4 linked regions of the Notamacropus eugenii genome follow. The protein of the gene in region 2 purifies or fractionates together with the protein of the main gene of each other region. This does not show direct contact. Links are inferred from orthologs where the notes say so. Each region holds a gene or a part of one and is shown on either strand. Other genes may lie near its edges. The genes, in order: PRMT5, ESR2, SRSF5 and COPB2.

What was found.
Region 1: the proteins of ESR2 (region 2) and PRMT5 purify together in Homo sapiens (affinity purification with mass spectrometry; 3 studies listed by BioGRID and IntAct, with this or other methods). This does not show direct contact. The link is inferred for Notamacropus eugenii from reciprocal best matches to the Homo sapiens genes ESR2 and PRMT5.
Region 3: the proteins of ESR2 (region 2) and SRSF5 purify together in Homo sapiens (affinity purification with mass spectrometry; 3 studies listed by BioGRID and IntAct, with this or other methods). This does not show direct contact. The link is inferred for Notamacropus eugenii from reciprocal best matches to the Homo sapiens genes ESR2 and SRSF5.
Region 4: the proteins of ESR2 (region 2) and COPB2 purify together in Homo sapiens (affinity purification with mass spectrometry; 3 studies listed by BioGRID and IntAct, with this or other methods). This does not show direct contact. The link is inferred for Notamacropus eugenii from reciprocal best matches to the Homo sapiens genes ESR2 and COPB2.

What each region holds. Positions count from the first base shown.
Region 1 is NC_092878.1:10,219,138-10,226,598, reverse strand, and holds the start of PRMT5 (protein arginine N-methyltransferase 5), read right to left. Parts: upstream 3,010-7,461; 5' UTR 2,854-3,009; coding exon 2,747-2,853; intron 2,291-2,746; coding exon 2,172-2,290; intron 2,034-2,171; coding exon 1,948-2,033; intron 1,773-1,947; coding exon 1,638-1,772; intron 1,163-1,637; coding exon 1,050-1,162; intron 911-1,049; coding exon 861-910; intron 655-860; coding exon 491-654; intron 1-490. UniProt on the Homo sapiens protein: Arginine methyltransferase that can both catalyze the formation of omega-N monomethylarginine (MMA) and symmetrical dimethylarginine (sDMA), with a preference for the formation of MMA.
Region 2 is NC_092872.1:308,278,435-308,286,405, reverse strand, and holds the start of ESR2 (estrogen receptor beta), read left to right. Parts: upstream 1-4,910; 5' UTR 4,911-5,428; intron 5,429-5,561; 5' UTR 5,562-5,959; intron 5,960-7,971.
Region 3 is NC_092872.1:309,637,232-309,644,265, reverse strand, and holds the start of SRSF5 (serine/arginine-rich splicing factor 5), read left to right. Parts: upstream 1-3,992; 5' UTR 3,993-4,129; intron 4,130-4,973; 5' UTR 4,974-4,992; coding exon 4,993-5,118; intron 5,119-5,456; coding exon 5,457-5,527; intron 5,528-6,288; coding exon 6,289-6,387; intron 6,388-6,505; coding exon 6,506-6,575; intron 6,576-6,832; coding exon of another isoform or gene 6,833-6,883; exon of another isoform or gene 6,884-7,034. UniProt on the Homo sapiens protein: Plays a role in constitutive splicing and can modulate the selection of alternative splice sites.
Region 4 is NC_092876.1:327,603,644-327,611,610, forward strand, and holds the start of COPB2 (coatomer subunit beta'), read left to right. Parts: upstream 1-4,912; 5' UTR 4,913-5,045; coding exon 5,046-5,048; intron 5,049-7,967. UniProt on the Homo sapiens protein: The coatomer is a cytosolic protein complex that binds to dilysine motifs and reversibly associates with Golgi non-clathrin-coated vesicles, which further mediate biosynthetic protein transport from the ER, via the Golgi up to the trans Golgi network.

The sequences.
Region 1 (7,461 bases), on a different chromosome or scaffold from region 2:
ACTGCCAGAGGAAAAGGGCATCAATGAAGAGGGGCCTAAGTCATTCATTTTATATATCCTAAATCAATCCCCAAATAATTAGTACATGGCTTTAATATGTTTAATGCCCACTTGGCATCTCAAGGCAGCTCAGAATACCTCATAACTTTTTGCAAATAGCAAAATATACTTCAAATATACTTCTGGATCTCAGAATCCCAAAAGTGAAAACTGGGGACTGAGGAAACAAAGGAGAACAATATAATTCCTAAGTTGGTGCTTTATTATTTAATCCTATGGAAATATTTCCTTTGAAGATGGGTTCCATGAAAAGTTAAAAGTTTCCTGTGCCACATTTTCCCTTTATCTCTGGACCCCTTCTGGAATTAAATATGAAAAGAGAATTGATCTAAGGGGAAATTTCAAACACTCATATAAACAAGGTAGAGAATCACTAGGGAACTAAAGGATGAACGTTACAACTCTTCACCCCAATGTATACCCTTTTTACCTTGAGGAGCCGGAAGATTAATCTCTGGTGCACCTTAGAAAGGACAGGAAATCCCTTCTTATTGGTCAAGAAGATGCTGGTGGGAAGGATGGCTGCTTTGATTGGCTCCCCAAGCCATCGGTCAATAATATGACTGGATGGGAGATCAGCACCAACTTCAATAGCTATAGTATGGAAAGAAAGATCTACTGAAGCCCAAACAGGCTTTCTTATCTGGGAGTCTATTACAATCTAGCTATGTAGCAGCCTGCTATAAAGTAAAAAGAAGTTACCCAAAGTCTCAAGCTAATCTGAAGCTTCACACCATGACTTCAACTCACATGGCGGAGGGGGGAAAGAAGCTCTAGCTATGGCAGCCTGCCACACTCACCCACTGCAATCCTCTTGCTGTAGTCACACAGGGTACGAAAGTTATGCCACCTGACCAGAAGAAAACAGAGCACAGGGCCTGCCAATCATTATACTCCTTCCAGCTGTCAGTCACTGTCCCACAGCCTCTAGCCCATTCTTCTCCCAGCCCTGGTTCTAATCTTCTGCAATAACAGAGAGAATCACATACCACATCCATGTCTTCTCCTCCCCAGTGTATGCCTCTGTCCGTTGAAGAGGCTCATTCCCAATGACATCATCCCGAAGGTCTTCTGCCGCCACCAGGGGTACCCGTATCCAGAACTACATGGAAAGAAACTTATTACCCTTGCCTCCACAAAGTTTTCTTTGATTAAAATGAAAATGATCCCAAACCAGTGCTACACCCTTTAGAACCAACATGTTTTTCTTGTTTCCTGCAGACTTAAGTAGGTAGTGCTACTTCATGGAGACAATGCCCATTTGTATGTTTAGGCTAATATCTATTTGTCTATCTTGTCTTCCAATTCAACTCTATGTTTTCTGAGACAGAAATAAATTCTCTTTATTAAAAGGATTCATTTTTTTAGTAACAGTATTTGTTTGATATATCCAATAACTGACTGATCAGCAATCCTAGGCAAATATAGAAGAACAGCAGGGTTCTTTCCAATCCATTTTATGCCCAATGTATTAGGTAGCCTGGTTTGGGATAAAACAGTATTAAATACAACCCAACCACAGCACAACACTGCCCATTCATCTTCTGGGTCTGGGGAGGAAATCACTTAGGTCATACCATGGAAGAATGATGGCCTGTGTGAATGTGATTGGTCAGAACTCTGGCCAGGTTAGTGTTATCTTCTTGAGTGAGAGGTAGCAGGAAAGCTGGAAGCCCCAGGTATGCCCCAAAATTCAACTCCTGCAGCATGGCCTGGAACAGAGACCAACACAGACAGATTAGTCAATGATGTCCCAAATGGCTTCCATCCTTGCGGTGCGAGACAGAGCTGACAGCAAGGTGTCCCAACAGCCGCTGAAATGTGGTCTGCCCCAGGTGGCCCCCAAGGGTCCATGACAGCCACAAGGCATCAGCCAAGGAGCCTCACCGCCTCCGAATTCCTTCTTATCTTCTCCACTCTGGAATCGGGGCGGATCCATGGTGACAGCTTCCCCACAATCAGGGTATTCCAGTCTGCATGGGCCAGGAAAGACAAAAACAGGAGAGGGGTGAGGACGTGAGCCCGCTTCTGCCCCTGGCATGGGGCACCACAAACCCGGGGCGTACGAGGGGCGGGCAGGGCTCAGACAATGTGGGGGGCGGGGCTCCTACCCCGTCCGGACAGCAGCAGGTCGGACCGAGTGTGGGGCCCGGGGCGGCTCTTGGCAGGCTCCTGGGCGAATTCCCTCTTGAATCGGGGGTGGAAGACGGGCATGCAGAGGAAATCAAAGCTGAGACAAAGACAGAGGACCCGGCCCGTACATTAGTAAACCCACAGCGGCCCGGCCCACGTGGGCCGGACCAGCGCGCACTGCCCACGCGCCAGGGGGGCACGGGGGGGCCTCGATGCCCCCCAAAAGGGACTTCGTGGGAAGGAGGAGAGGGAAAAGGCAGGACCCCCCCTCCGGCGGCAGGGCCGGCCCCCGTGGGATCTCGCCCCTGGCACGGGTGCCCCATGCCCCAACTATCGCCGGATTGCCCGCACACCGTGCCAGCCCGCTCCCAGCCTCGGCAGGGGACACGTGCGCCCGAGCCTCTCCACCCACCCCCATCCGCCGCAGAAATGGTCTCTCCCACCACGGTCCCCTCCCCCTCCCCCCGGGGCTGGGAATAGTTTCTCCCACTCCATCTCCCAGAAAGCGCGCGTCCCACCCCAGAGAGGAGGGAAAGGAAAACGGGGCCCTCACCCTTGTTTGGCCACGGCCCCCAACGTATCGGCCACTTCGGGGACGCAGTTGAGGTCCCGCCCGCTGGACACGCGGCAGCCGGGGGCCCCAACTGCCACCGCCGCCATTTTCCCCCTCACGTTGTCTCTCCAGGACCCCTGGCTCGCAACAACCAATGGCGAAGCGCAGAAGAAGCCGGGTTTCCCCGGTAGGCGGGAGGAGTCTCCTTAACAACCCGAGCGTCTCCTTGCACTCAGCGCCGCGGGGTAGGCGGGGCGAGGTGTGGGCCTCCCTACCAATCAGGGGGCGGCGCCGTGACGAAAGACAAGAGACCTGGAAACCTACCAATCCGAGGGCCCCGTTTGTCCGCCGAGTCTACTTCCCGTCTCGTCTTAGGGAGAACCCTTGAAACAGGTCCAAGCGAAAAACTACATCCCCCATGAAGCCCCGCGGCATGCTCTTGAACACGGGCCGCGGCCAGAGCTTTTTCGTCCGAGGGCCAGTGGCGCAATGGATAACGCGTCTGACTACGGATCAGAAGATTCCAGGTTCGACTCCTGGCTGGCTCGTTGGGAACGGCTCCTCTTTATTGCTCCCTCGGGAGGCATCTTCTGTCCTCTCGGTCTCCGCTGTTTTCCTGCGGTCCCTTATGGATCATGGACGCTTCCTCCGTCTGCTCTTCCAGCACCATAAGGGCCTTCCGAGCGAAGAACGCGGCCTCGGACTCTACTTCACGGTAGACCCCGCCAGGCCCGCGCTCCCTGGAAGCTTCCAGCGGGAGAGGAGGCAGGGAAGGGACGTGGAGGCCGTGTCTGCTGCTCCCGAAAGCTGGACCTCACGCGCAGTCACGGAATTCCTCCGTCCGAACTCCCCAGAAGAGAGTGGGTCCAGGACCTACGTGGGCGTGCCCCGCGGCCCGTGGGCACGTCGGGCCGGTGCCCCCCCGGTGTCCCCCCAGCGTCCTGCGGGTCGTCCAGGCTGCCCTCCCCCGCGGCCAGTCCTGGGGTCTGCACCTTGGACACCGGCCTAGCCCCGCTCGGGCAGCTCCAGGGGCTCCCCGCGACGCGCAGGACCGGGCAGGAGGCCCCCGCGCCCCCTCGCGCCCCGCTGCTGGCCCACGACCCTCCCTCCCCCAAGCGCATCTTCTCTGGCTGCCTCCCCTCTGAGGCGATCCCCAGTGTGTCCTGCAGGTATGGTGGGTGTGCATGCACCCCCGCTCCTCTACATGTCCACATCCACACGCGTGTGCGTGTTGGTGGTGGTCTGCCTCACTCAGAGCAGGGGCTGTTGTTTGCCTTTCCCTGGATCCCTAGGACTTCGTACGACAGCCTGGAACCCAGGAAGGGCTTCGTAACTGCTGACTGATTGCGTCGGTGCGTTCTCTAGACATCTTGTTTAAAGGATCAGGTGTAAAGCTGGTGAAAGTTTGTCTTATCTTATCCATTCTCCTCATGCCAGTCAGTGTAATATTAACGATATCTCGTGCGTTCCCTGTAGACTGTACGCTGCCCTGGTGTCACTTCCAGGAGAGCATCTGATGAATTACAGACCGATGGATGACCGGTGTTATCTCTGCCTCTTGGAAGACTTACAGAAGGCAAATGGATGTCTACTAATGGAGGAATTTCTGGCATGTTGGTATTTGAGTGGGAGGAAAAGTTTTACATGGGAGAGTCTTCCTGATGCCCTAGAAATCACACCAGTAAGTAACTTCCCATCCTCCCTGCCCTGCCATCTCACTGTATTAGGTTCCAGTTCAGGGAGTCAGGAGATCTTGGTTTGAGTATGTCACTCACTACTAATGATGGGGCTCAGACTCTGGGAGCCTCCTTGAGCTCCCCTTGAATCTTCCCACTTAATCTGGCCTTCCTTACTCAAGTCTAATCTTCGCATTTGTTCTGGCAGTCTCCGGAAGCCCATGGGCTTTTCATTATCTTTCTACTCTAGTCTCCGTTGCACCACCCCCCCCCCCCCTTGATCCCATCAAAACCCCATTCCCCTGGCTGCTGACCACTCCCATCAAGATCTGTATCCATTCCCATACTGCCCCTAGATCTGTATCCATTCCCATACTGCCCCTATCAAGGTCTCTGGATTGCCCCACCTGCTTCCCACCCAAACCCACACTAATCTGATATCTCCTGATAGCCTCCAGCTGATTCCAGCCTTTGACCCTCCTTGGATTCCCTCCTTGGACTTCTCCTCAAGACCCTCCCTAAACACCTCCTCCCATCACCCTGGACTACCAGACCACCCCCAGATCCCTCCTACACTCTTTTCTGTATTTAAGTTCCATCTTGCCTCCATGAAGGCGCTCAGATTCAATCCAGCTCAGACTCTGTCTAGCTGGGATTCTGTCTGGCCTGCTTGTGAATACAAGCTTTACAAATGCTTAGGCGCCTTAAGAGGCAACCCAATTTGGTGAATCTTTAATAAACTTTGTTTTCTTTGGCTTTAAGAAGGCTTGAGTAGAATTCATTCGAGCACGACCCGGACTGTCGGTATCTTGGGGTCCACAATCACCCCTCAACCTCGTCACTATGTGACCTTTTTCAAGTCCCTTCACTTCTGAGGACTTCAAATGACCATTAAGTGCTATGTATACATCATTGTGCTAGGTGCTGTAGGAGATAGAAAGTTTAGAAAAGACCCAAGGCCCAGTGGCACCCACAGTCTAACAGGATCCATAATAGTAAGATCCATACTCAGGAAATTGAAATACACAAGAACACTTGATAAATAAAGTTTGCCCAGTGATGTGAGAGAATGAGCACTGAGCAGGTTATCCCTGACACATGGAGAGCCGAGGGAACGTCAGGGAAAGGATGACTATTTAGTTGGGCTTGAAAGAATAGGAAAAAATTCAACAAAGGAGGAGAGAAGGCATTCCTTACCTAGGTATTGGCCCAGGCAAAAGCAGGAAAGGCACGTATCCTACGGTATTTTGGGTAAGGATAAATGGGAGATGGAAGAGCACAGTTTAGCCAAAGTAACAAAATTAGGCCAGAGGTCTTCTCAAAGTCTCCCGGACTCTTAAAATTCTAAGAATGACAAGAACCTCATCAGACTATTTTATTGTATTCCCCATGGCAATAAATACCGTATTCAGAACTGGGCGTATTCTTGGACTTGTTAATTGATTGATTGCATAAGAGGCTATATAGAATTAACCTAGAACATGCCCCTTACTATCAGCTAAGCCTACGGTTACGTAAGAATCAGAAAGACACAGTAAAGAGCACTGATTGCTTCCATCTTTGTTTTTTGGGGAGACTTTAGGTTTTTTAATCAATTTTCAGTTGCGTATCCTTCTATATTCTGTTTTAAAAGGATGAGGGGAGAAACATTTCTTTTTTTACCTATAGAATTGTAAGGAATGTAGGACTTTGAATTGTGAAGATGGGCTGAGATAGGGAGAAAGAAGAATACAGTGGAGTGAGGAATGCCTTTGAGGAAAAAAAGAGTTTATCTCAGCCCTACAAAAATGGGTGGAAAATATGGATGCTTCATCGCCTTCACTGAACAGACTTACAGAATTTCAGAGTTCAAAAAAACCACAGTGAGCTTACCAGAAAAAGAATTCACTTGATCACTTATCCAACAAGTTGACATCTGGCTTTTTCTTGAAGAACTCCAACAAGTGGCATCCATAGCTTCCTGAGGCAGACCTTTTCACTTTTAGATAACCTCAACTGTTATAAAAATTTATCTTTGTACAATTTTTCACTCAGGATCTCATCCACAATAATTCTTCATTTGGTGTCAATTCTCTCCTCCATATGACATCCTTTTAATTACTTGAATATATCAATCATGTTCCCACAAAATCTTTTCTTCTCCAAGTCAAACATTTCCAGTTCCTTCAGTCCCCATGTAGTATGAACTCAAGGTCTTCACCATCCTGATTGTCCACTCTGGACAATCTCCTGAATATCAATATTCTTTCAAAAATGTGGCATCTCTAACTGAACACAAATACAACAGATGTTTGATGGCCAAGTAAAAAGGGATTGATACTTTCGTATTCCTGAAATTCATACCTTTCTTAATGTACCCTAAAATCATATTAGTTTTCCTAGCCACTATATCACATTATTGATCCATATTGCACTTGAAGTCCACTAAAACTTCCAAACCTCTTTCAGATGTTCAGCCTTGCCTCCACCATCTTGCATTTGTGAAGTTGAATTTTTTTAACCCTGGACATAGATGTGTTCCTATTAAATCTCATCTCATATGATTTGACCCAATGTTCATACCTGTTAAGACCCCCTAATGGGTTATCTATCTCTCCTAGCTTTGTGTCATCTGCAAATTTGATGAACACATGTTTCTGCTCCCAAAACACATCATTGATAAGAATGTTAACATGAGACCAACCACAGTTCCTTTTTTGATTTTTTTTTTTATTAATTGTCCTTTGACCAATACATTATAGAAAATTGCTAGGGATTAAAGTCAGGCTCACTAGCCTATAATCTGCAGACTATTTTCTTGCCCTCTTTGAAAATCAGAGCATTTGTGCTTCTCCAATTTTGCAGTTTTTTATCTTGTTTTTCCTATTCTCTGTGATCTTTCCAAGCACACCAAGAATGGTTCATCAATCACACATCTGCCAGTCCTCTCAGTACTAGAGGATCTGGGTCAAATGTCTTAGATCATTAATGGTAGGTAGGCAACTCCCAGTGTGGAAATTCCCTGCACCGATGCAGTTTCACAGCTCATTAGTAACTTAG
Region 2 (7,971 bases):
TCAGCTGGAATTTGAATCCAGTTTTCTGACTTCAAATCCAACAGTCTTTCTATTACACTTTGGTTTTCTTATTTTGTTCATAATAGCTAATATTTTTCAATGTAATGTATGTAGTTTATGTTTACAAAGAGCTTTATATAATACTAGGTGCTATATTTGCTAAATGCATTAACTCCTCAGGGTTCTATGGGGCAGAACAGAGCAGGCATTATTTCTATTTAACAGATAAGTAAATGAGACTCAGACACATTAAGTAACCCATCTAAGGTCTCAGAACTAGTGAGTGACAGACCCACAGATTGAAGATGGGTCTTCTAATGAGGCCAGTGCTCTTTCTCCCATATGACACTGCTTCATAGGAGAGCACAGATGAGGTGCCAGCACTCCCAGCCCATTCTCTATTTAAACCTGTGCTGTTATTAGTGCCATGAGGAGCCAGAAGTGAAAAGGTAGCAAGAAAGGGGTAAGTGGGTTGTTGATAGTTCCATCCTCATGTGTACACAAATTTGAGAGTTTTCCATTGCCTAGGATGTGTTCCTCCCCAAGTTACCTTTTTTTTACCTGCTAGATGCCTTATATTACTTCTCCACATACTTTCTTGGCCACTTAGGACTTGTCATTCTTCTTGTCTTTAAAATTATAAAGAATATAAATAGGTTCCCCAATTGATAAATGGTCAAAGGATATGAACAGGCAATTTTCGGAAGAAGAAATTAAAGATATCTATAATCATATGAAAAAATGCTCTAAATCACTATTGATTAGAGAGATGCAAATCAAAACAACTCTGAGGTACCACATCACACCTATAAGATTGGCAAACATGACAGAACAAGAAAATGATAAATGCTGGAGAGGATGTGGGAGAGTTGGAACACTAATTCATTGTTGGTGGAGCTGCGAGCGCATCCAACCATTCTGGAGAGCAATTTGGAACTATGCCCAAAGGGCTACAAAAATGTGCATACCCTTTGACCCAGCAATATCGCTACTAGGACTGTATCCCCAAGAGATCATAAAAATGGGAGAGGGTCCCACATGTACAAAAATATTTATAGCAGCACTCTTCGTAGTTGCCAAAAACTGGAAGTCAAGGGGATGTCCATCAATTGGGGAATGGCTGAATAAATTATGGTATATGAATGTAATGGAGTACTATTGTGCCATAAGAAATGATGAACAAGAAGACTTCAGAGAGGCCTGGAAGGACTTATATGACCTGATGCTGAGTGGAAGGAGCAGAACCAGGAGAACTTTGTGCACAGCAACAACCACAGTGTGCGAGAGTTTTTTCTGGTAGACTTGGAATTTCGTAATAAGGCAAGAACTTCTTAAAAAAAAAAAAAATCCCAATGGTGGTTCTCTAAGGCAAAATGCCTTCCACACTCAGAGAAAGAAATATGGAAGTCATTCGCAGAATGTAGAAGATCATGTTTGTGTATGTGTATGTTTTTGTGTATCGTTTTGATTTGTTATATGATTTCTTCCATTTATTTTAGTCCGACTACATAGCATGACTATAGTGAAAATGTACTCAATAGGAAAGTATATGTAGAACCTATACAGAATTGTATGCAGTCGTGGGGAGGGAGGGGGGTAGTGGGGAGTAGGTGTGGGGGGGATAAAATCTCAATTGTATGGCAATGATTGTTAAACATTAAAAAATAATAAAAAAAACGCAAAAAATAAAAAAAAATAAAATAAAAAAATACAAAAAATACAAAAAGAATATAAATAGGGTAAGTGTAGACTTTGTTTACCAAATCTTAAACTACTAGAACTAGAGGTTACCACTTGATGCTCTTAAAAATAAATTAGGTCAAACACCCAATTATGTTAAAGATACCTTTCTCTAAGTTACTCAATAGAGAAATCTAGGAGTTATTATTTCATGTCTCTCTATGTCTACTTCCACTCCCATCACCTTAATTCAGATCCTCATTATCTTTTATTTCTCCCTGCCTCAGGTTCTTGTCCCCTGTAATCTAGAATATCTATATCTATCTATCTATCTATCTATCTATCTATCTATCTATCTATCTATCTATCTATCTATCTATCTGTCTGTCTGTCTGTCTGTCTGTCTGTCTGTCTGTCTGTCTGTCTGTCTATCCATACATATATGTGTGTGTGTGTGTGTGTGTGTGTGTGTGTGTGTGTGTATATATACACACACACATATCTGAGCAAGAGTATGCTGGCAAATGTTTAACAACTGGCTCTCCAAAAACAAACAAATGAAAACAATGCACAGAATATACTTTTAAGATTAATTTGTATTACTAACATTTTCTTCATCAGTTTCCTAAGTCTAGACGAGCAACAAAACAACAAATCTAGCCCTGATTTGTAGCACTTACTGATTTCTAAGGTGTAAATGCTGAAAATTTTATACTCAATATGTTACCTACAACACACTGATCATGATACTCTCCTACCCCCCAGCAAAAAATTATATTTATAGGCTGCTTAAGTTTTGCAAAAGCTTTCTTCATAACAATGCTATAAGGTGGGTAGTATAAGAATTATTCCCATTTTAGAGATAAGGAAACTGAGACTGTGAAAGGATAAGTTTTTGTTCAGTTGTGTCCAATACTTCATGAACCTGTTTGGTGTTTTCTTGGCAAAGATAGTGGAGTGGTTTGTCATTTTCTTCTCCAGCTCATTTTACAGATAAGAAACTGAGACAAAGAGGGTTAAGTGACTTAACACTCCAGGGTCACACAGCTAAGTGTCTGGAGTCAGATATGAGCTCATAAAAATGAGTCTGTCTGATTCAAAGCCCAGAGCTCTATCTACTGAGTCATCTAGTAACCTCAAAGGGTAAGTGTCAGGAATTAAAACCAGGTCTTCTGACTCCAGGTCGATATTCTTTCTAATATGTCATATAACCTTTCAAAATAAAGTAACAAAAAAAAATCAATAGCTAACTATTGTTACCTAACAAGCCTAAGTCTCCTAACCTCATCACTGAAGGTCCTCTATCCTCTGGTCTAACCTATCTTTCCAGGTTTATATTACTCCCACATGTATACCTTTTGTTTCAGCCAAAACAGACCCCTCATTGTCCAAAGAAGTTCTGTGTTTTGCTGCCCCAGTGAACGTTTCTCATGGCATCCCTTTTTCAAATGCTATCACATTCTTCAAGTTCCATCTCAAAAGGCCACACCTTCTATGAAGTCCTCCCTGTCACCTCTATAACCTCTAACTTTCCAGTCCCTCCTTTACCTTCTCATAATACTTTGTGCCTTGTTCATATATTCACTGAATTCTATTCACTGAATTCTATTCTATTCTATTCTAATTTATCTTCATTACTAGCCTGTAAGCACTTTGAGAACAGTAACCCTACCCTGAACATAGTTGGAACTCAGAAATGAATCAAAGGCAAGGAAGGATTTCTCTGTGCTAACTAGGAAATTAAAACTAATTGAAAAATGTACATCAAGAGATGGATGATTTTTTCTAAAATTATATGTTTAAGATAAGAACTTAGAGATTCATAAATAATAGTTCTATATTACACTATTAAGGGAAATTAGGTTGCTTTAGGTTAGATACTTAATGTCTTAGGATCAGATGCTACAAGGAACCTATGATTCCTTTCATTTTGCAATGGAGAAGTTGAGACCTGAAAAGGGATCTCTTTTAGATATCACAAAGTAGGGGAGCCTGTATGTAGGAAGCAGATGATAGCAGTTTCAAACTGCATCAATTAGTAGAATTTTTTCTGGGCAAGTCAGGTTGATTTTATTCTGAGCAGCAAATAGACAGTGAAGTCAGGTATCCTGATTCCAGGCCCAGGACTGACTCCTTTCTTTCACATTGCTGTGGCTGGTATCACAGAGGACAACTTCTAAACAGCTGTTTGTCTCTTTGGAAGAGGCAGTATTGGATTATAAATAGATGGACCACAGGTCTGATGCCTTCTGACATTTATGCTTGGGAACATTTGTCCTTCCTTCACAAAAGTGCTTGGGATCGCACCCTTATCGCATCACCACTTATACCATGCATAGAAGTGTGCACAGATTTAGAGCTACAAAGGACCATCAAAATCATTTAGTTCAACCCTGTCATTTTTTATAGATAAGAAAATTGAGGCTCAAGGAGGTTAATTGACTTGTCCATGGTAACATAGAAGAACTGAGTTTAAATTCAGATTCTCTCTACAAATCCAAGGCTCTTTCCATAGTTCCTTGTCATTTGCTTTTGAATGAACACATACAACCATATTCTTTCAAACTATAGTGAAAAGAACACTTTTGTTGTTGTTCAGTCGTGCCTGACTCTTCATGGCCCCGCCTGTGTTTTTCTTGGCAAAGATATTAGAGTGGTTTGCCATTTCCTTCTCCAGCTCATTTTACAGATGAGGAAACTGAGGTAGATAGGGTTCAAGGACTTGCCCAGGGTCCCACAGCAAGTAAAGATCTGAAGTCAGATTTGAACTCAGGAAGATGAATCTGTCTGACTCCAGGCTCACCACTCCTAGCTGCCAGCTAGCTACTCCTGAAAGAACTTACCTCTGGAAGAGAAGTACCTGAATCTGATTCTTAGATCTGTTATCTGTATCAGCTTGGGCAAGTCACCTAACCTATCTGGGACTCAGTTTCTTTGTCTGTAAACACAAAGTTGTTGAACTGAGTAACCTCAAGGTCTCTTCTAGCAATATATGATTAATGGAGTGAAGTATTTTAGCCCTATCCCCTAAACAGACTTGGTTAGTTGGATCTGAGACACTCATTGCCACCTTTCTTCTCCACCCACACTCAATGAACAAATTCTGTTTTATGAGGGGTGGGAGAAGGAGGGATCTAAAATGCCACAAGGGGGCAGCAGCTTCCACACTGGAGGGTCCTGAGGCTGAGAAGAGAATTCCTTCATAAGCAATTGGGGCTGGGGCAGCTTCTGGCGTCTCAACTCCCAATAGAATCAGCTGTACTACTGCCTTATCCAGCTGCAGTCTGGAATGGCTGGTCTGATCTTTGAGACTCCTGTAACTGATTAGTGGAGCAAGCACCATGCTCCCCTGCTCCTTTCTTAACCTGTGCTTCAGGTGCCTGAGAGCTGGACTCAGCTTCAACCCCTTCAAGTGTATGTTGTATCTTCAGAAGCACGGACCATCCCGCCTGTTTTTTATTGCAGGGAACTATGGTTTCTTGGGAAATGCTTATAACACCAGGAGCCAGAAACCTGCATTGATTCCTGGCACAGATGTGGTTCACAAATCTCAGTTGCTCCCCAGCTACCTCCAATAGTCTTGGAAGGATCCGAATAAGACTACTGGTCTTAGGGTCCCCCTAAGACTATTGGAAGTGGCTAGGGGAGCAGCTGAGCTGTCCTAGGGTCCCCCAAAGGATGATGCCGGCTCTTTAGAGTCCTGCCCAAGCTGGAGGAAAAAAGAAGCAAAGTGTTTCTGGAGAGAAAGGTGGGCTTACTCATTTGGGGGCGTCAGCTTCAATTCCCCATTGCGATTATTTGCAAAGGGAAAGAGGAAAGGGTGAGGGGAGAGGGGACATGAACAACAGCTGGTGAATTATTTGTGATTTCGTTTTTCTTAGGCTTTTTTGACTTTTTTTTAACCACTTGATGCTCGAGAAAACGAAAGCTGCCTTTCCTGAAAACGCGTTGCTTTGAAACTTGTGTCAGGAAGGAGGAGGAAGAAACTCTACCTTCCTCCCTTGGAAAACAGACAGCAAGAGGGTCCGCTGTAGGTGTAATAGACTCGTACTGATGACTTGGTATCTTCTTGCCCAGTAAAAACGGTCACTGACTAGCTTGTGCTTGTGGGGATTGGATGCGTCCTACAGTCTTAGTAGCTGCGAGGGATCCCTCCTGAAGCTAAAAGCCAGCTTTGGGGAGACTGGGATTCCTAGAGCATTGAGAATTCTTGCAAGATAACCATGTGCATGCTTAGTCTGGCCAGATTGTTCTGAAGAAACGGATTGTTTCCCTGCAGGTAGGTACAACAGTTGATTCAGAATCTAATTGCTTGGATTAATTTTTTGAAATTCAGGAGTGCAGAGGCACTAGCATCTAGAGAGCAGCAAACAAACAAAAAAATTTAGGAAACTAATAACTGCTGCGTTTATGGCAGAGGAAAGTTAATCTCTTCTACTGGTATGTGCCATCTGTGAAATAGAAACACTTTTGTGTTGATTTGTACACAAGAATTTTTAAAATTTCCTTCTGGTTTTTCCTTCTAAAGTATCTTCTTCAGGGATTCTCCACTTGATTTAAATTTGAAAAAAAAAAAAGAATGCAACACAATATTTTTCTCTGGGGATGGGGAGATTTGTGGTGGGGTGACTGGTCAGATGGTAGTTGTTCTAGCTGAATTAAATCAATTAGTGATATTTCCTGTTCAAGGGTAGATGGACTTTAGTCTGAGAGGTTTGGGCAAGATGTGGCTGTTTTATTGGTTGAGAAGGAAGACAAGCTTTAAAGAAATAGGGATTTATCAGTGGTCTATTTCTTACTGGCAAACTGAAATTGATAGAATGAGAATGTCATTCAGGTGAAAATATTTTATTTTTTGGGAAATGAAAGTGAGGTTTGTAATGGTTTCTTTTTTGACAGGAGGAAATCATAGTTCAGGACAGTCAAATGGTGTACTTTTTTAAAATGAAACTTTATTTACCTTGCTACTGAATAATATCACCCCTTGAGTTTATGTCCGTCTATAACTATCTATTCATGTAGATACATAGATATGTGTATCTCAGGGTCTTATTTAGCAACCTGAAAAGATTTCTTTTGGAGAAATTAATTATCTTGCTAACTATCTTTAAATGTCTGTTTTTGCCCTGTACACATGAGATGAGAATAGGAGTAGTGAAGGGAATGCTTGATTTGATCGTAAAGGTTAACTACATATTCATTGAACTCATATACTTTGATTAGGGATAGTCTTTTTTCTTATCAGCACTTACCACACTTAAGCACTTAAAAATATTCTATCTTATAAGTGTACTTTGGTTATAAAGAAACTAATCTTTGTGGTCATTATCTTGCCTTTTTTCGGAGAAAAGTTTGTGTTGTTTTAGAATCTAGTTGCTGGAAGGAAGGGGGAAGTTATATATTTAGTGCATCAACAAGTGTTACGAATACAACAAGCCTTTGGATTTGGCTCTGAGGGGTACTTTTAGTTAGGAGAAATGTCTGCCCTTCAGAGCTTTATTTCACTTATCCTGGGCTCATATTTTGTGCTGCTTCTGTCCATAAGAGAAAACGCTTCATTTTTGTTGAATGTGACATTTTAGGCTTTAGTATTATGAATTTTGAGAAAATGTTTTAGCCATTAATGTTTAAAGTTATGGACTTTGGGAAAATGTTTAAGCTATTAATAACATTATAGGGAAATGACACCTAGCATTAGTTGAAAATTCCCATTAGGACATTAATTTTTAATTACTCATTAAATTAAGTTGCTTTTGTTTAAATCATTAGCTTCCCTGAGTTAAAATATTATGCCTTTTGTTGTTCCCTGAGTTCTATAATCCCACTGCAATCCTGGCATTTTAACCTTAATTTCATACCATTTGATATAAAGAAGGCTGCCTGAAGCTGTATTTAGTTGCATGGTAGAGAGCAGACAGTGGTTGAAAAATGGCAACTTTTAGTGGAGAACCACAAGGTTAAAATAAATGATGTATATGTTTTGAAATGACTTAAGTATAAAATACATATATATAATTTTATTCCTATTAATCACACTTTTTATTCCTTTTAGCCTAATTTCATTCACTGTGTTAATGCTTGGACTTCCGAGTGGTACTTTCAGAACTAGAGGCCATTGTAAGAAACACAGATTTGGGGGATTTTATGTACAGTTTAAAACAATGCATTATGTTTTTATTTTAACTGATTTGTTTGTTTCTAGTATTTCTGCAAATCCAAGTTATTTTCATGTACAGTGAATGATAGGAGAAGTTTTTGTCTAAAATACCAGTGCTGCTTTATTTTTCACCA
Region 3 (7,034 bases), about 1.4 Mb from region 2:
TTGGGCATGTTCAGCCAAGCCTAGGTTATAGAAATACCAAATGCTACAGTAGCTCAGAGGAGGGAGAGAACACTTGGGGAGGCAGAATAGAGCAGAAAACCCCTGGAATTAGGGGCCCTAGGCTCCAATTCTGACTTATTACATGCAGCTGCTGGGAGACCTTCAGCAAACAGGCCTTAACTGAAAAATGAGGGGGCTGGACTAGATGACTTTACAATCCATTTCAGCTCTAAATCCCATGTTACTCTGATTAGGCTTGGGAGTTCTGTTGGTTACCAACAGTGTACTAAGCTTGTACAAGTGAGATACCAGTATAGGATTTTTCTTTGGATAAAATTATCTTATTACAAAACAATAAGATACACAGAACAGCTCAATAGCAGCTGTATACAACCTGTATTAAAATGTCAATTGTAAAATACCATTCAGAAAAGATGCATGTTGTAGTACATTTTGAAAGTCAACTTTACTAGAACTTGGCCAGGCCACACAAGCCAAGTCCCACAGAGGAAGATTTTCCACCCAAATCTCCCCTCCCTTACAATGGCCAAAGGACCCCGTGAAAGGGAGTGGAGAGTGCTATCACAATCAACAATCAGGCACAGGCTAGTCCTCCAGTTAGTTGATTTATTAGCTTTTCTTGTTAGGAATTTAAGATCTTGCATGGAGTTTAGCCACTTGGAATACAATGTTCTCTGCTTATCCCAATTCCCCCAGTACTGGCCAAGTTGTGTTTCTCTCTTGTCCACCTTGTCCTCTTTATGGAACACTGAGTTGGCTCTGAAGTTTCCTCCCATTAAACTTCTGACATTCTCTGTTCTTGACTGGAATTCCTAGCCAAAAAAATGGTAAGGTAAATGAAGTCACCCTAAACTCAAATCCTAACAGTTGAAAACAATCATGTTAAGTAGATTTTGCATGTTGGTAAACTTATCTATGTAAAATTTTATTGGAAGAATTGATGCCTTTGTCACTGCTGGGAATAAAATAAAATTTTATGTCACACATTTAGCAATAGGTCAGGTCTTCACATTGCTAAACTAGACTCAAAAAATCTCTTTCCCCACTAGGCCAAGGTGGATCTTAGTATTTCCTACAGTCCTCAGTATAACCTATTGATAAGAATCATAGCAAAAAAACAAGCATGCAGATTCTATTGTTCAACAAACAAGGAATTATACAAAGATAAATAAGGAATCTTCCATCTAAACTCTAAAGACCCATTGATCTATGCCTGGCTCATAGTAAGCGTTTTAATATTGGTTGGTATATTATTAATTATTTTGTTGACACACCGCAAAGAAGTGCTGAAAATATTGTTAGTAACTGCTTCCACTTTTACTTCCTGTGACTGAATCAGCTGCTTCATTCAGTGCCGTGATTAGAGTGTTAAAGAGCTTTGTCATTTAATTAAAATTGCTACTTTAAGTCACCTTGAATTTCTAGATGTGTACTTTGAATAAGAAACTGCTGGAGCAGACTCCTTGCAGGAGAATATGTGTGTGTGTGTGTGTGTGTGTGTGTGTGTGTGTGTGTGTGTGTGTGTGTGTGTGTGTGTGTGTGTGTGTGTGTGTGTGTGTGTGTGTATGCATGTGTGTGAGAGGGGTTGAAGGGAGGAACTGGGATAAATTGGGAAATAAAAAGACCCTATCTTTCTCCCTAAAAAACTCCTTTCCTGTAACCCCCATACATCCATAAGTCCTATCCCTTTCACTCTTCTCAGAATTTGCACCTAAGACCCTCTCCTTTATCCCTCCTCCTCCATAAACCCTCCCAAAAGCATAGACACCAATTAGAAGCTTCAGACACAATTGTGAATTTCAGTACTTCCCTCTTCAATATAGCAAATGAATACTCAGAACTCACACTGGCAGTTCAAACCTCTTTGTAAATATAGAGATTTTTCTAAATTTTAGGAGAAGATATTGAGTAGCCCTTTTCCATATTAAATCAATGTAAGTGCCCTACTTTGCAGCACTTTATTTTTTCTGCCCTGGTTTAGGAGTGTGAGAGTAAAGGAATGGGAGGTTTGAGGGTAAATTGTCAGAGATGCAAGCAATTACAGGCCAGAGAGCTGCGGATATTGGTAAAAACAGCAAATCAATTCAGACTGAAAAATGGGGAGAGCAATTCCTAGTAAGGGCTCCACTTAAGATGAAGAGGCATTGCTATACTTCTACTGAGCAGAGGAGAGACTTTTCATTTAGAATTCTCCAAATTTCCAAAATTGCTTCAGTGCTCTAGGCCAGTTTTTCATCAAACGAAGCTGCTAGGAACTCTGAAATACTATGATTTTGTTAAACTAAGCTTATGCTGTTTGTTAAAAGGCATTAAAATAACACTTTTAGAGAATTTTACTTACAAGGGTCACACGGCCTGAGGGCATGCGCAGTGCAAAGTGCATATACTGCAAGTTCAGAACCAAGGCTGCAGTGACGTTGCACAAGGCAACACAGGCAAGCAAGAGCCGCCAGAAAAGCTTCGGATTCATGATGCATTCGATTTATAATTAATTTTTGGTTGCTGGTTGTTCAGAAACCTTTTGCCGTTGCCAAATTTTTCTTGACCCCATAGGGTCACAATCCAGAGTTTAAGAATTGCTGCCTAGGGAGTGGGAGATGTACTTAAACTAAACTCGGAAGGGCTACAGTGGCCTTTGGCAGGGAGAAATAGTTACAAAGTAAAATTCTGTTTAATGTAGCTAAGTGTGAAGGGAAACCTTCCAACAGGAGAGACAATAAATTAGATGCAATTCTTTAGGGAGAACTTTGCAGAGTAAGGTGGCATCTGGAACAGAAGGGGAAAAAAAAAACTATTGTCTTTTAGAGTTCCCTGTTTGAAAGAAAGGAAGAGAAAAACTTGGGAGAGCATCCGTGATGGGGAAAAAGAAAGCAGAGGGCCAAGAGGCCAAAAGCTGAAAGAAATGGTGATGTCTGGCATGGAGAGGAGAAGCCTGGAGACAAGTTCACTTGGTTCTCCAATATCTGAAGGTCTTGCCAGGTGAAAGCGGGATCACATCTGCTTGTTTGGCTTGGCTGCAAGCAAAAGCCTGACCTGAATTTGCTGGGGAGGGCTCCAGCAGTGAGAGTTTGTGACTTCATTCTGTCTCCTAAACGCAAACATCTAGCTTCTCTGTAGCTTAAAACTGAAAAGAGCCGGCAGAGGAGACAGAGCAATGATACTTCATTCTAGTTCAAATGATTGCTTGGCAACACCAAGGATATGAGGCTAGATAAGGTTTGCAGTCCTGCACATCCTCTGCACGCCCACAAAGCCCGCATGGCGGGGGCGGGGTCTTAACGCATGCAAGCCTGACACGTGGTGGGTCCCCCTCTGCAGGCCTGGACACCAGTGCGGGCTGCTGGCTTGTTTGAGAATAAGACTCAATAATAATACCCGTTAATAAAACGGGTGGAGATTAAACAAGGGGGCAAGCAAGCAGACAAAAAGCCGGGTGAAGGGCCAGGTAAACTGCAGAGGCAGTCACCCCAAAAGGCAACGGCTGTGGAATGCCTTGGGATGATCCCCAACCTGGCCCTCCCCACCTGGAAGCTGTTGGGGCTCTCTTTTCCATTTTCGGGTTCTACATATCGGCCCTATGGGACCGGAGCTTCTAGGGGGCAGGGCCTGCTTCACTTCCGTCTACCCTCCGGGTCTAACGCTGAACCCAGCGCTGGGAAGACACTTCCTGAATACCGAATAATAAACCCGAACCAAAGGGCCGGGTCAAGCGGCCTTCATTTCTGCCCTTTACCACTAAAAGCTACAAACGCCCTCCCATCCACTTCCGCCTTTCTCCCTCCCCTCAAAGTCCGCCTTTGGCCCCGCCCCCCAGCGGCGCTAGGCCTCTGGGACGGAAGAGGAGGAGCCTCCAGCCCCTTCAGCCAGTCTCTTAAGCCTTAGAGCGAGCAACAAGGTCACGTGCTGCTCTGGGCTAGGGCCGGAAGTGACGCACGCCCAGTACCTTCCATTTTGTGGAACGTCCTAGTGGATAAGTGCGTCAGTTGCAGAGAGACGTAGCCTGAGGAAGTTCGTGCTCTTCGAGTCAACGCTGTTGGTGGACTTTCGACCGCTCCGCCGTCTCTGCCTCCGGCGGGTTTAACGCTTTAGTTCCTGCCCATTTAGATTGGTAAGCGACTGGCCTTTTAAAGGAAATAATTCCTTTCGGAATTATTTTTGCTCTTCCGGTATCTGCCTCCCCGTAGTGGGGGTTAAGACAGGACACGGGGAATACCCCGTGTTACCAGCAAGCCATAGTCCTTTCTCGTTGTAGGGGCCTGAAAAGGACTAAAGATTGCTACCCGGAAGCGTCTGTCGTGTCTTCTAGAGGGCTGTAAGGGTGTTGGGGCGGTGTCCGTTATATCTTTCCGGGCTTTTTCCCATTTTATCTGAATTCAGGAGGCCTAAGTGTTAGGTTTAGAAGTCAGACCTTTAACGTGCATTCATCCACCAAACCGGCCGCTTAAACGGTCGGCGGGTCGGTAGGGAACGTTCGTGGGGGAGGGGGAAGTGGAGAGAGATTTGCGCGCGCCACTCCAGTCCCGTCCCCGCCCAGACGCCATTTTGTGGTTCCAGAGGCTTTATTTGCTTACTGCGCACGCGCTGGCGTCGCGTCGCGTGATTGGAGCTTCCATTTGGCTGTGACGCTCTGGCGAGGAAGGAGCTCACGCGGCTGCTCTAGATTGGCCCCGAGAATGCGGAGGATGTAGCCTACGCCCCTCCTTCGCTTCTCGGTCCTTCCAACTGCGGCGGAGGGGAGGGGAAGTGCGCCTGCGCAGTCTCCGACCTCCGGGGGCGTTGCGGCGGCTGCGGTAGGGGGTAAGGTGAAGTGACCCGCGAGTGCGGAGTCAAGATTACTGGGAAACCGCCCTAGTTTGTAGATCTGCTGAAATTCTGATCCGTACGTGAGCACCCTGTTTGGGTTCGAACGCTCCTGTTGGTTTTATAACTAACGTAGCCTTTCTTTTTCGTAGGAATCCGAAGTGGGACACCATGAGTGGCTGTAGAGTATTCATTGGAAGGCTAAATCCGGCAGCCCGAGAGAAAGACGTAGAAAGGTTCTTTAAAGGATATGGACGAATAAGAGACATTGATCTGAAGAGAGGCTTTGGGTTTGTGGTAGGTATCCAGTAAAAACTGTTGCTAGTAAAGAAAAAAACGCTATGAATTTTATTTTAAAATTCAAACTGTCCTAACGCTGTGAGGTTAAATAAATTTAATACAATCAAGGAAAATACTGCACTAATACAGCTTTAACAAATTCCACATCTTAAGAGGAAATGTAAATTTTTAAACGTTAATGGGCTGTTATCTAGTATTGGAGTACATAGATTGTTAGATAGTTATTCATATTGACTTAGTTTACTAACATGTAGTGATTTAAGTTTGCCTAGTGCTGCACATCTGTTGTTATTCATTTTCCTGTAATTAAATAGCTAAAATGATTCATTTCTTAGGAATTTGAGGATCCAAGAGATGCTGATGATGCTGTTTATGAACTTGATGGAAAGGAACTCTGCAGTGAGCGGTAAATCTTTTTTTGTTTAAAAATTACTGCTGGATTTGGGTTCAAGACCCAACTGTTACTGCCTATGAGACCATAGGCTTCTGAGTTAATTTTGCATCATATATAAAAATAAGGTTGGGCCAGATGACCTAGAAAATTATTTTCACCTTTAAACCTATGAGCCTGTGAAATCATGTTACTTCTATTTTTTGAGTTTTTTTGTTAAATAAATGTAAGCCAAGTTTATTTAACTAGTGTTTTTAGACACTGCAGTATGACAAGCAGTGTAAGTTAGTATAAGTCATCTCAAAAGCCAGAGGTTTTTTTAGTCACATGTTTAAAAGATGCAACTTGTAACAGGATTATAATATTTCATTTTTGAGTTAAAGAAGTCTCACAAATGAGCAACACTCCTCAGAAACTGCCAGGTGAATTTTCTATGCATCTCTACATAGGTCCTATAAAAGTTTTTAATTGTAATGTTATTTTACAAATGTGTTCATAGGAATATCTACATGCTGTGCATAAATATATACTGATGGTGTGTTGCAAAATTAAGAGTGTTGAACTCTTGGGAGTCAGAAGAGAAAACCTGGATTTGATTCCTGAATAGATATTTAACTAATTTTGTGGCCATGACTTGAGTCATATAATTCAATTTCTAACAGGGGCTTAACATCTGTATTGTCAATACGTACTGGATTAAAACCTAAATGAGAACGTATATGAGTGCTTGGGAACTTGTAAGCATTATTAATGAAGACTTTTCTACTTTATTCTAGGGTTACTATTGAACACGCCAGGGCTCGTTCAAGAGGTGGACGAGGAAGAGGGAGGTATTCTGATCGATTTAGTAGCCGCCGTCCCCGAAATGATAGGAGGTATGGGTTTTTCTGAATTAAGGTATTCTACTTTAAAAACAGAATTGAATAAGTAAAATGTCCTGTCTCTTAAAACTCACAAGTAGTGTTTTTCCATTTCAATTGTTTTTTTCCCCAGAAATGCCCCACCTGTGCGAACAGAAAATCGTCTTATAGTTGAGAATTTATCTTCACGAGTCAGCTGGCAGGTTTGTTGAAATAAGGTTTAAAACTTCTTCAATATTTTAAAAAATAATGGGTAGTTAATATTAAACCTTTTACTAAAGTAGTTTTATCTTTAAATATGAACTTAACTGGACATCTATAATATCATTTTAAACTATTTAACATAATTGGGGGATATTTGAAGCCTAGAGTAATGATAGTGATCAAATGTAAATGTTTTTGAGGATTTTTCTTGTTTTAAAATCAATTTTAACCAAATATTAAACCCTTTATTTGCCAGCCTATCTGTGTCGTTGGCCTTATGACGAGGAGTGCCTGTGGGTTATCCTAATCGTTCTGTCTTGGTCACTCTTGGTTGGGCCTGGTTGACTTTGCCAGTCAGCTCCTACAGTGATCAGTTGGCCACCTCTAGATCTGTGTTTGCCGGTCTAGACGTAATCGGTGCACTTCCTTAAAGTGCCAGGTTGCAGCGATCCCCGAGA
Region 4 (7,967 bases), on a different chromosome or scaffold from region 2:
ATTTATGCTGAGGTCTTCCTGAAAAATCTTGTAGGTTAAGTATATTGCCTTTTGATACCTATCACAGTATCTATAAGTACCTAATTTTGTTATGACCTAAAACTTGAAAAACTGACTCAGCCTAGAGAAAAATATCTATTTTTATTTTAATGATATAGAAATAGTATGAAACTGTTTCGACATCATCAGATCCAAACCTTCTTAGATTAGTGCAGCTGAACACACCACTGAGGATCTCAACCTTTTCCAGAGGGTGAATTCTTATTTACTGAAAATTATAAGATTATGGATTAAGGCAGTGACCACCAAATTGTTACTATGGGAGAATGGACTATTATCTGCTTCCTTTTCCTTCCAACTCGGAAACAATAAATCACAGAAAATAAGGCTTGGAAGTGGTGAAAATGTCAAGGTCTTGCCTCTGAAACGTCTCTGGCCCATTGAGAGCTCTACTTTATTCTAATGTTCAGCTTGTCCACATTCCCTCGCTTCCCCAAAGTGTTTCCTAATCTTTCCTTATCACAAGAATAAATCTTTAGGATAAGAAAAATGATTATTAATAACCAAGGATTTGGAGATATACAGAGTTCTCCCTTTTTCTATAGTCCTCATTTCAAAGCTCAGTCTCTTGAAGGATGTTACTGATAATGAGACTGAATTAACTTCCTCAGCATTGGTCAGGTCCCACCTAACCTCACAAGGAATTTAATGTAAGGTGGAGAAGCCCACTGTGCTCCGCTCAGGTTTGGGGGGGAAGGGATAAATTCTTTCATTAGATTGCTCAAGGCTGGGGGTAATTGAGAAGTAAATGACATAATCAAAGTTCATTTGCATAGGTCCAGTCCCTCATCATTAATATTCTTTCTCTTATTACTTGTTAACCAGTCAGAGTTGATTGCCACCCTCGGGAACACCCACTTTTCCAAAGTCACATAAACCTTGAGGGAGCACACCACAGTGACAGTCTGGCATTCTAGAGTGCCACTGACCTCTTTTATTAAAATGTTAGCATTATTATTAAAATGACTAGTTAGCCAGAAATTATGTCTCTTGAACTTTTTAAATGTCATAGGGAGTAGGTGGGAAACTACTAGAACCAAACATAAAGGCATTTTCCCCAAATACGTGTATCTTGACTGTGTCCATGCTATTCTCTTTCAGGTAGGGCCATCAACTCCACCTCTTTTCTATGAGAACTTTGGGCTCTGCCCCTAGCACCATCAAGACTGAGTTTTTGCCTTGTCTTATCTGGATCCAGGCTTCCATCTCATTTCTTATCTCTATACCATATCAGAATGTGTACTATACCTTTCTATCCCCTCTTTATGTACTGTATTCTCTATTAGAATACAAGCTCCTTGAGGACAACTCTTTTTTTGTTTTTATTAATATAGGGACACTTAGCACAGTGCCTGGCACATATTTAACCATCAATAAATGCTCTATCTATGGAAGTGTGTGCATTCTATCTTGTTAAAATGTTCATTTCAACCACAGTGAAAGAACAAGCTTTCCTTTTTTATTGTGTTCAATATCTAGTACATTGTAAAGCTCTTATTAGTTAAAAGTAGCTATAAACTAGGAGAGTATTTAAAGTATGAGTTATATTTATGATGGCCAGAGTAAGCATCCTCTACAAAGTCAGGCAGAAGCACTGTGGGACAATAAACCTACCAATGGTGTTTAGATCATTGCTGAGGGACATTGCCAAAAAAAGATTATGAACTAAGAGTTCAATACCGTCGTCAGTCAAGTAATACCTTATATTTACCTAGTAATTCAGTTACCAAATGAATGCAAGTTTATCTCATTTGATCCCTACAACCCTGTGTGCACAATTCTATCTACATTTTAGAGGTGAGAAAACCGAGGTTCAAAGAAATTGGTTAAGTGAAGTGCCGACAGATGCACAGCTAGTCACAGCAGCCATGCTCCTGACCTGGGGCACTTCTGATTACACCATACTACATGTTTAAAAACCATCAAGTTATCTATTTTCTCCCCAAAGATCATTATCGTTGCTCTTCCTTTGTTCCCAAAGACTGGGAGAGTCTTCTCAAAGCTATTCAGAGATGAAGATTCTATGCTCTGCCTCTGTCAGTCACTTGTCCTTTCCTATGAAACCCCAAATTTCCAACATTTATCTGTTTCCATCAGTGGAATGGATTAGATACGTAACACACAGTAGTAAATGACCATAGTAATCTAGTGTCCCAAACTTTTGGGACAAGAAAGCACTATTTGACAAAAATTGCCGGGAAAACTGGAAAACAGAATGGAAGACTCTAGGTATAGACCAATATCTCACATAGTATACCGCGGAAAGGTCAAAACGGGTACCTGATTTAGACATAAAGTGTGATACCAAAAACAAATTAGGAGAGCAAGGAATAGTTTACTTCTCTGATCTATGGAGAAGTGAAGAATTTATGACCAAACAAGAGACAGAGAGGATTACTATACAATGGATAATTTTAATTATATTAAATTAAAAAGTTTTGGCACAAACAAGACCAAATGCCATCAAGATCAGAAGGAAAGCTGGGAAGAATTTTTTTTTTTTACAGCAAGTGTCTCTGATAAAGGCCTCATTTCTCAAATATATAGAGAACTGAGTAAAATTGATATACCAAGTCACTCTCCAATTGATAAATGGTCAAAGTATAAACAGAAGAAATCAAAGCTATCTATACTTATATGAAAAAAGCTCTAAATTGCTATTATTTAGAGAAATATAAAATTAAAACAATTTAATACAAACTAAAACATCTCACACCGATCACATTGGCTAATATAACAGGAAGGAAAATGATAAATGCTGTGCAGGATGTGGGAAAACAGGGATACTAATGCACTGTTAGTGGAGTTGGAACTGATCTACCAATTCTGGAAAACAATTTTGAACTAGTTTCAAAAGGTTATGAAACTGCATATCCTTTGATCCAGGATTACCAATAAATAGTAGGTCTATAACCAGAGATTAAAAGGAGGGGGGGAGGGGCGATTACCTATTTGTACAAAAATATAGTAGCAAAGAATTAGAAATTGAGGAGATATCCATCAATCAAGGAATGGCTGAAAAAGTTGTTGTATATGATTGTAATGGAATACTATTGTACTGTAAGAAATGACAAGCAGGGTAATTCTAGAAAAACCTGAAAAGACCTACATGAACTTATGCAAAGTGAGCAAAACCAGTACATTGCACATAGTAACAGCATTATTGTATGATGACCAGCTGTGAATGACTGGGCAATGCAAGGATCTGAGACAATTCCAAAGGATTCATGAAGAAAGATGCTACCCCCTTCAGAGAAAGAACTGATGGAGTCTGAATGCAGATTGAAGCAGACTATTTTTCACTTTATTTTCATGTTTTTGTCTGTTTTCTTTCACATGATTAATATGGAAATGTTTTGCATAACTGCACATATATAACATGTCAAATTGTTTACTCTCTCAAGGAAAGGGGAGAGGAAGGAGAGAATTTGGAACTCAAAATTTTGAAAAATGAATGTAATTGGGGAAAAAAGTAAAATATTTTTTAAAAATCTGTCTCTTCTTGTACAAGGAATTTGTATCCCACTTTTAAAGCCCCTGGAAAAATAGTTATCAAACCACAGCCCACATCATTCTCTTCTCCCCCCAAAAAAACCTTTGATAGAATAAATATCAGAGCTAGTGACAGTCAGAGCTACCCCCTATCTTTTACAGAGTCAGAGACTGAGACCAACAATGAGAATGCAAGGTGATTTAGTGGAGTTCCGGATTTATAATATTATAATGTATATTATGCAATAATAACATATAATATATAGTAATTATCACAATAGCTCAGTTACAAAACTTTAATCAAAACTTCGATGGAAAGCACTTCTGATACATTATCTTAGCATCTCACATTAAAGAGGCTGCTCTGGCCTCACTATCTCTGGGTTAGGCTGTTTACTCCTCCCCTCCTTCCCTGCCCCTCTCCCTTCGTCTTAGGTACCCTGTGAAACTTGGGGTTATTTTTCATTCTACTTCATCAGCCCAAAGCTCCAGTGACTGCTTTCTCCTATTTTAGAGGGCCAGTAAGTAGCCCCCCAATTCCATATAATCACTTCACATACCCGTCTGGGTTGCCAAGAGTTTTACAAAGGCACATTTACTTCATAGATATAGTAAGAAAAAAAAAAGTACATTTTCCCCAACACTTGTGGGTAAAGTTTCTCCCTCCCCTCACCTTAGTTCGGTTCCTACACACAGATGAGCTAAGGCTGAGAAGTCAGAAGTCACCAAGGATCTGAAGCAGGATCCGCACCCCCCTTTTCTCTTCACGAGCGCCACCCGCCCCCTCCCGATGCAGAGGTCGTGTGGCCCAGGGCAAAGGCTTCTGCCCTTTCTGGCCATTGATTTTTCTCATCGGTAAAAAGGCAGGGTGGGGAGGAGGAGCCCGGGCGATCTCTAAGATCCCCTCCATCTCAACATCCTCTGCGGGGAAGCGGCAGTCGGGCCCTGAGCCTGGGCCTCATGGGCTTCTTCACAGCCCCGGTCGCTCCACTGGGCCGGGCTGCCTTCTTTCTTAGGGACAGGAACAGGAAGGGCGCCTGGCGGGGCACCAGGAAGGTTTTCTTCCCGGTCTTCCCTCGCTCCTCTGCTCAGGAGGGGCGGGCTCCCCTCAGCCTGGGGCTCCGCGGGGATGTCTCTCCTCCCGGACCCCACGTTCCCTGCACTGCCGCGGAACCTCTGGATCCTGGCCCAATAAGCATGCAATCCGGCTCAGGGAGACCCCCGGGCTCCGGGTGGGTTGCCAAGGCAACGGACGGAAGTGAGGTGTGCTGGGTGAGGAGGAATGTGAACCCCGAGCCCCGGCGCCGCGAAAACTCTCGCGAGGTTAGTCCCGGCGTTCCCGTGCTGAGACGCCAGATCTCGCGAGAGCCGGCCTCCCGGAAGCTCCACGTCAGTCAGTTGGTCAGTGTTCTGCCAGCGCCAGCGTCAACCCCGAGCTAGCGGGCCCCGGGACCCGGCATCGAGCGAGGGAGTTCGGCGTCGCTGACGGAGCCATGGTGAGACTTTGGCCTTGCAGGCTTCAAAATAAACGAAAGCGCGAGGCGGATCGGCGCTGGCCCTGCAGGGGTTGCCGTGGCCAGGGCAGCTCCGGAGATCTCCTCAGGGCCTCCTACGACGGGAGAGGGGGAGGGGAAGAGGGGCCCCGGGAGCCCTGGGCTTCTGCCGCCCGGTCCCCACCCGGCTGTGTGCAGGAGTTACGGGCCCAGGTGTTGTGGGACCACCGATTTCCGAAGGAGGGATGGGGCGGGGGACGGACCGCGAGCGGGAGGCGGGGCGGGCTGCAAGTGGGAGAAACGGGGTGTCGGCTTCTTTCCCTCGTGGGTGAACTCTTTGACCTCTCCGAGACGCAGTGTCCTTATACGTGAAGTGGAACGATAACACCTGTAGCCCCTGCCTCGCGGTGTTGTTCCTAGGACCAAATGAAGCCACTTGGGCACAGTGGTTTGCAGACCCTTAAAGCCCGGTATCACTGTCAGTCTGCTGCTGCTCTTCCTAGAGATGACACCCAGAGAAACCAGGACTGTGCTGACTTAGAGACTGGATCGTAATGGCTGGTTTTCGGGGCGGGTCATTTCTCAGGAGATGAAAGTGACAGTCATTGTTAGCATCAAAGTTGTACATTAAAAGCGTTCATTTAGATGCTTTTCACGTTATTTTCCAACTCTACGGTCATGATACAAAGCTGGAGGTACTTGATCTTATTATACAGCACTTAAAAGGTATAAAGTGAAGTAAAGAATGTCAAACGTTTTTATGTATATAAAGGACAAATTAAGTCTAATAAAATTGTCTCCAAACCCTTTTAACTAGAATTTTATAAATCTAGAAAAGTTGAAGTGTACATTACTAAAGTGTTTTACAACTATATTTTTTAAAAAGTTTGCTATATAAAAATGCCTATTATCCATTCCTTATATTTCTAAAAACAAAAGTTGTCTTTTTAATGTCACTTGAGTATTCTCATTCTCATAAATATCTTTACAAGTATTTGGTAGTGTGTTATTATATTCAGGGTTTCCTCAAAAGTGCACATTTCTTGCCTCTTAGGAAATGTAAAGAAGTCTTTCTGCCAGGTTGAATTATTTTTTTCTTTCCTTTTCCCATCACAAAGATTGATGGACTCAGAATAATTTCGTTATGAAAGAATTTTAGGAAAAAATTAATCTTTCAAGAGGAGGGGATGGAGGTCAGAAAAGGTTAAATGATTTGTCCAAAGTTACACAGTGAATAGCAACAACAGAGGTAGAATCATAGAGTTTGAAGGGATGTAACAAGTCATCTAGTCCTGTCCCTGAATCTCCTCCTACTGTGGCAAGTCAGCATTCAACCTATGTCTAAGCATCTTTAGGTACACAGCATTTAGTACTCCAGGAGACAGTCTACTCCAGTTTTAGAGAAATCTGATTTTTAGGAACTTCTTTGTAAGGTTGGGCTCATTCTATATAATTTTACCCACTGGTCTTTGTTTTGCTCTCTAAAATCACTCACACGATGGTTTTTTAAATATTTGAAGCTAATTTGTGCTAAATCTCCTCTCTTGAACAGTTTTTTCAATAATCCCATTTATGGCATGGTTATGAGTCCTTCTACCTCCCTTTTAGCTTGTCAATTTCCCTCTTAAAATGTAGCATCTAAATATAATAATACAAATGTGGTCTAACCAGTGCAGAGAGACTGTTCCTTTTTGGTTATGGAGATGTTTAAATACCACTTTTTTATGAAGCTTCCCTCAGGATGTCATGTGACATGTTATTTTGTATAGACATCTATGTAATGCATTAATTGTGTTTTATTTACCTATTAGACTATAAGCTTTATGAGGGCATGGGCTTTGTCTTAACTGATCTTTGTATCTTCCTTTGTTATCTAGAAAAAAATAGATGCTTACTGAAAGCCAAGTGTTACTAATGCCCAAGTGGACAAAGTTCCAGGGTAATTGTATAGTCAGTAGCATCAGATGCCGCAGAAATCAAGGAGGTTGAAAACTAAGGAGAGGCCATTGGCAGTTCACAGGTGTTTGGTGACATTCAGAAGAGTAATTTGGGTTAAATGACAAGGGAGGGAGTATAGAGTTCGTGAGTGATGAGGAAGTAGAGGCAGAGATAACAGTTCTTTTCAGGAATTTGGCAGTGAAAAGACTTTAAAAAAAAAGCAAGCCAGGATGTAGCTCAATGGAGCAGCAGCATAAAGAGATCATTTTTTAAAATAGGGGAGAATTAACATGTTTGTAGGTAGAGGGAAAGGAGCCACTTGGGGGAATTGCAGAGGGAGGCTGGAGTGGATGGAATCAAGAAAGCACAGAGAAGTACTAGAAGGTAGAAAAAGTATGTGAAGAAAACAGGGAAAGCCCAAGATAGTGAGGAACGTATGGCAGTGGATGTTTTGAAGTGAAAGGAAGGGAATGTTAGGTTGCTTGAAGTTCTCTAGAGAGGAGTAACTCATTGTCTCCTAAACGATCCTATTCTACTTGGGGATAGCTCTTTTGGTAGGTTTTTTTTTTCTGTATGTCAAGCAGATATCTACCTCTCCGTAACTTCTTATCAGAACTTTTTATTCTGTCATTTTGGGCCAAAAAGAACAAGGCTAATCCATCTTCCATTTGGCCCCCTCTCCCAAGTAATCTTATCCGCCACTAATTCTTGTTTGGGCTAAATATCAGTTATTTCAACCACTTCTCAAATAGCATGACCGAAGCTTTTCATCATACTGTTTGCTCTCCTCCAAGTTACATCCCAGGGTAGCTATAGTGGTGATTGTGATTATTGAATATTAATTCAGAATTTTTAGGATAGTAGAGGACTGAAAAAGAGCAAATAATGTCATTCTAACTTTTCAAAAAAGGGAATAGTCTATATTTTGTAACCTGAATTTGATTTCTGGTAAAGTTCTATAATGTATTATCAGAGGTATGGTTA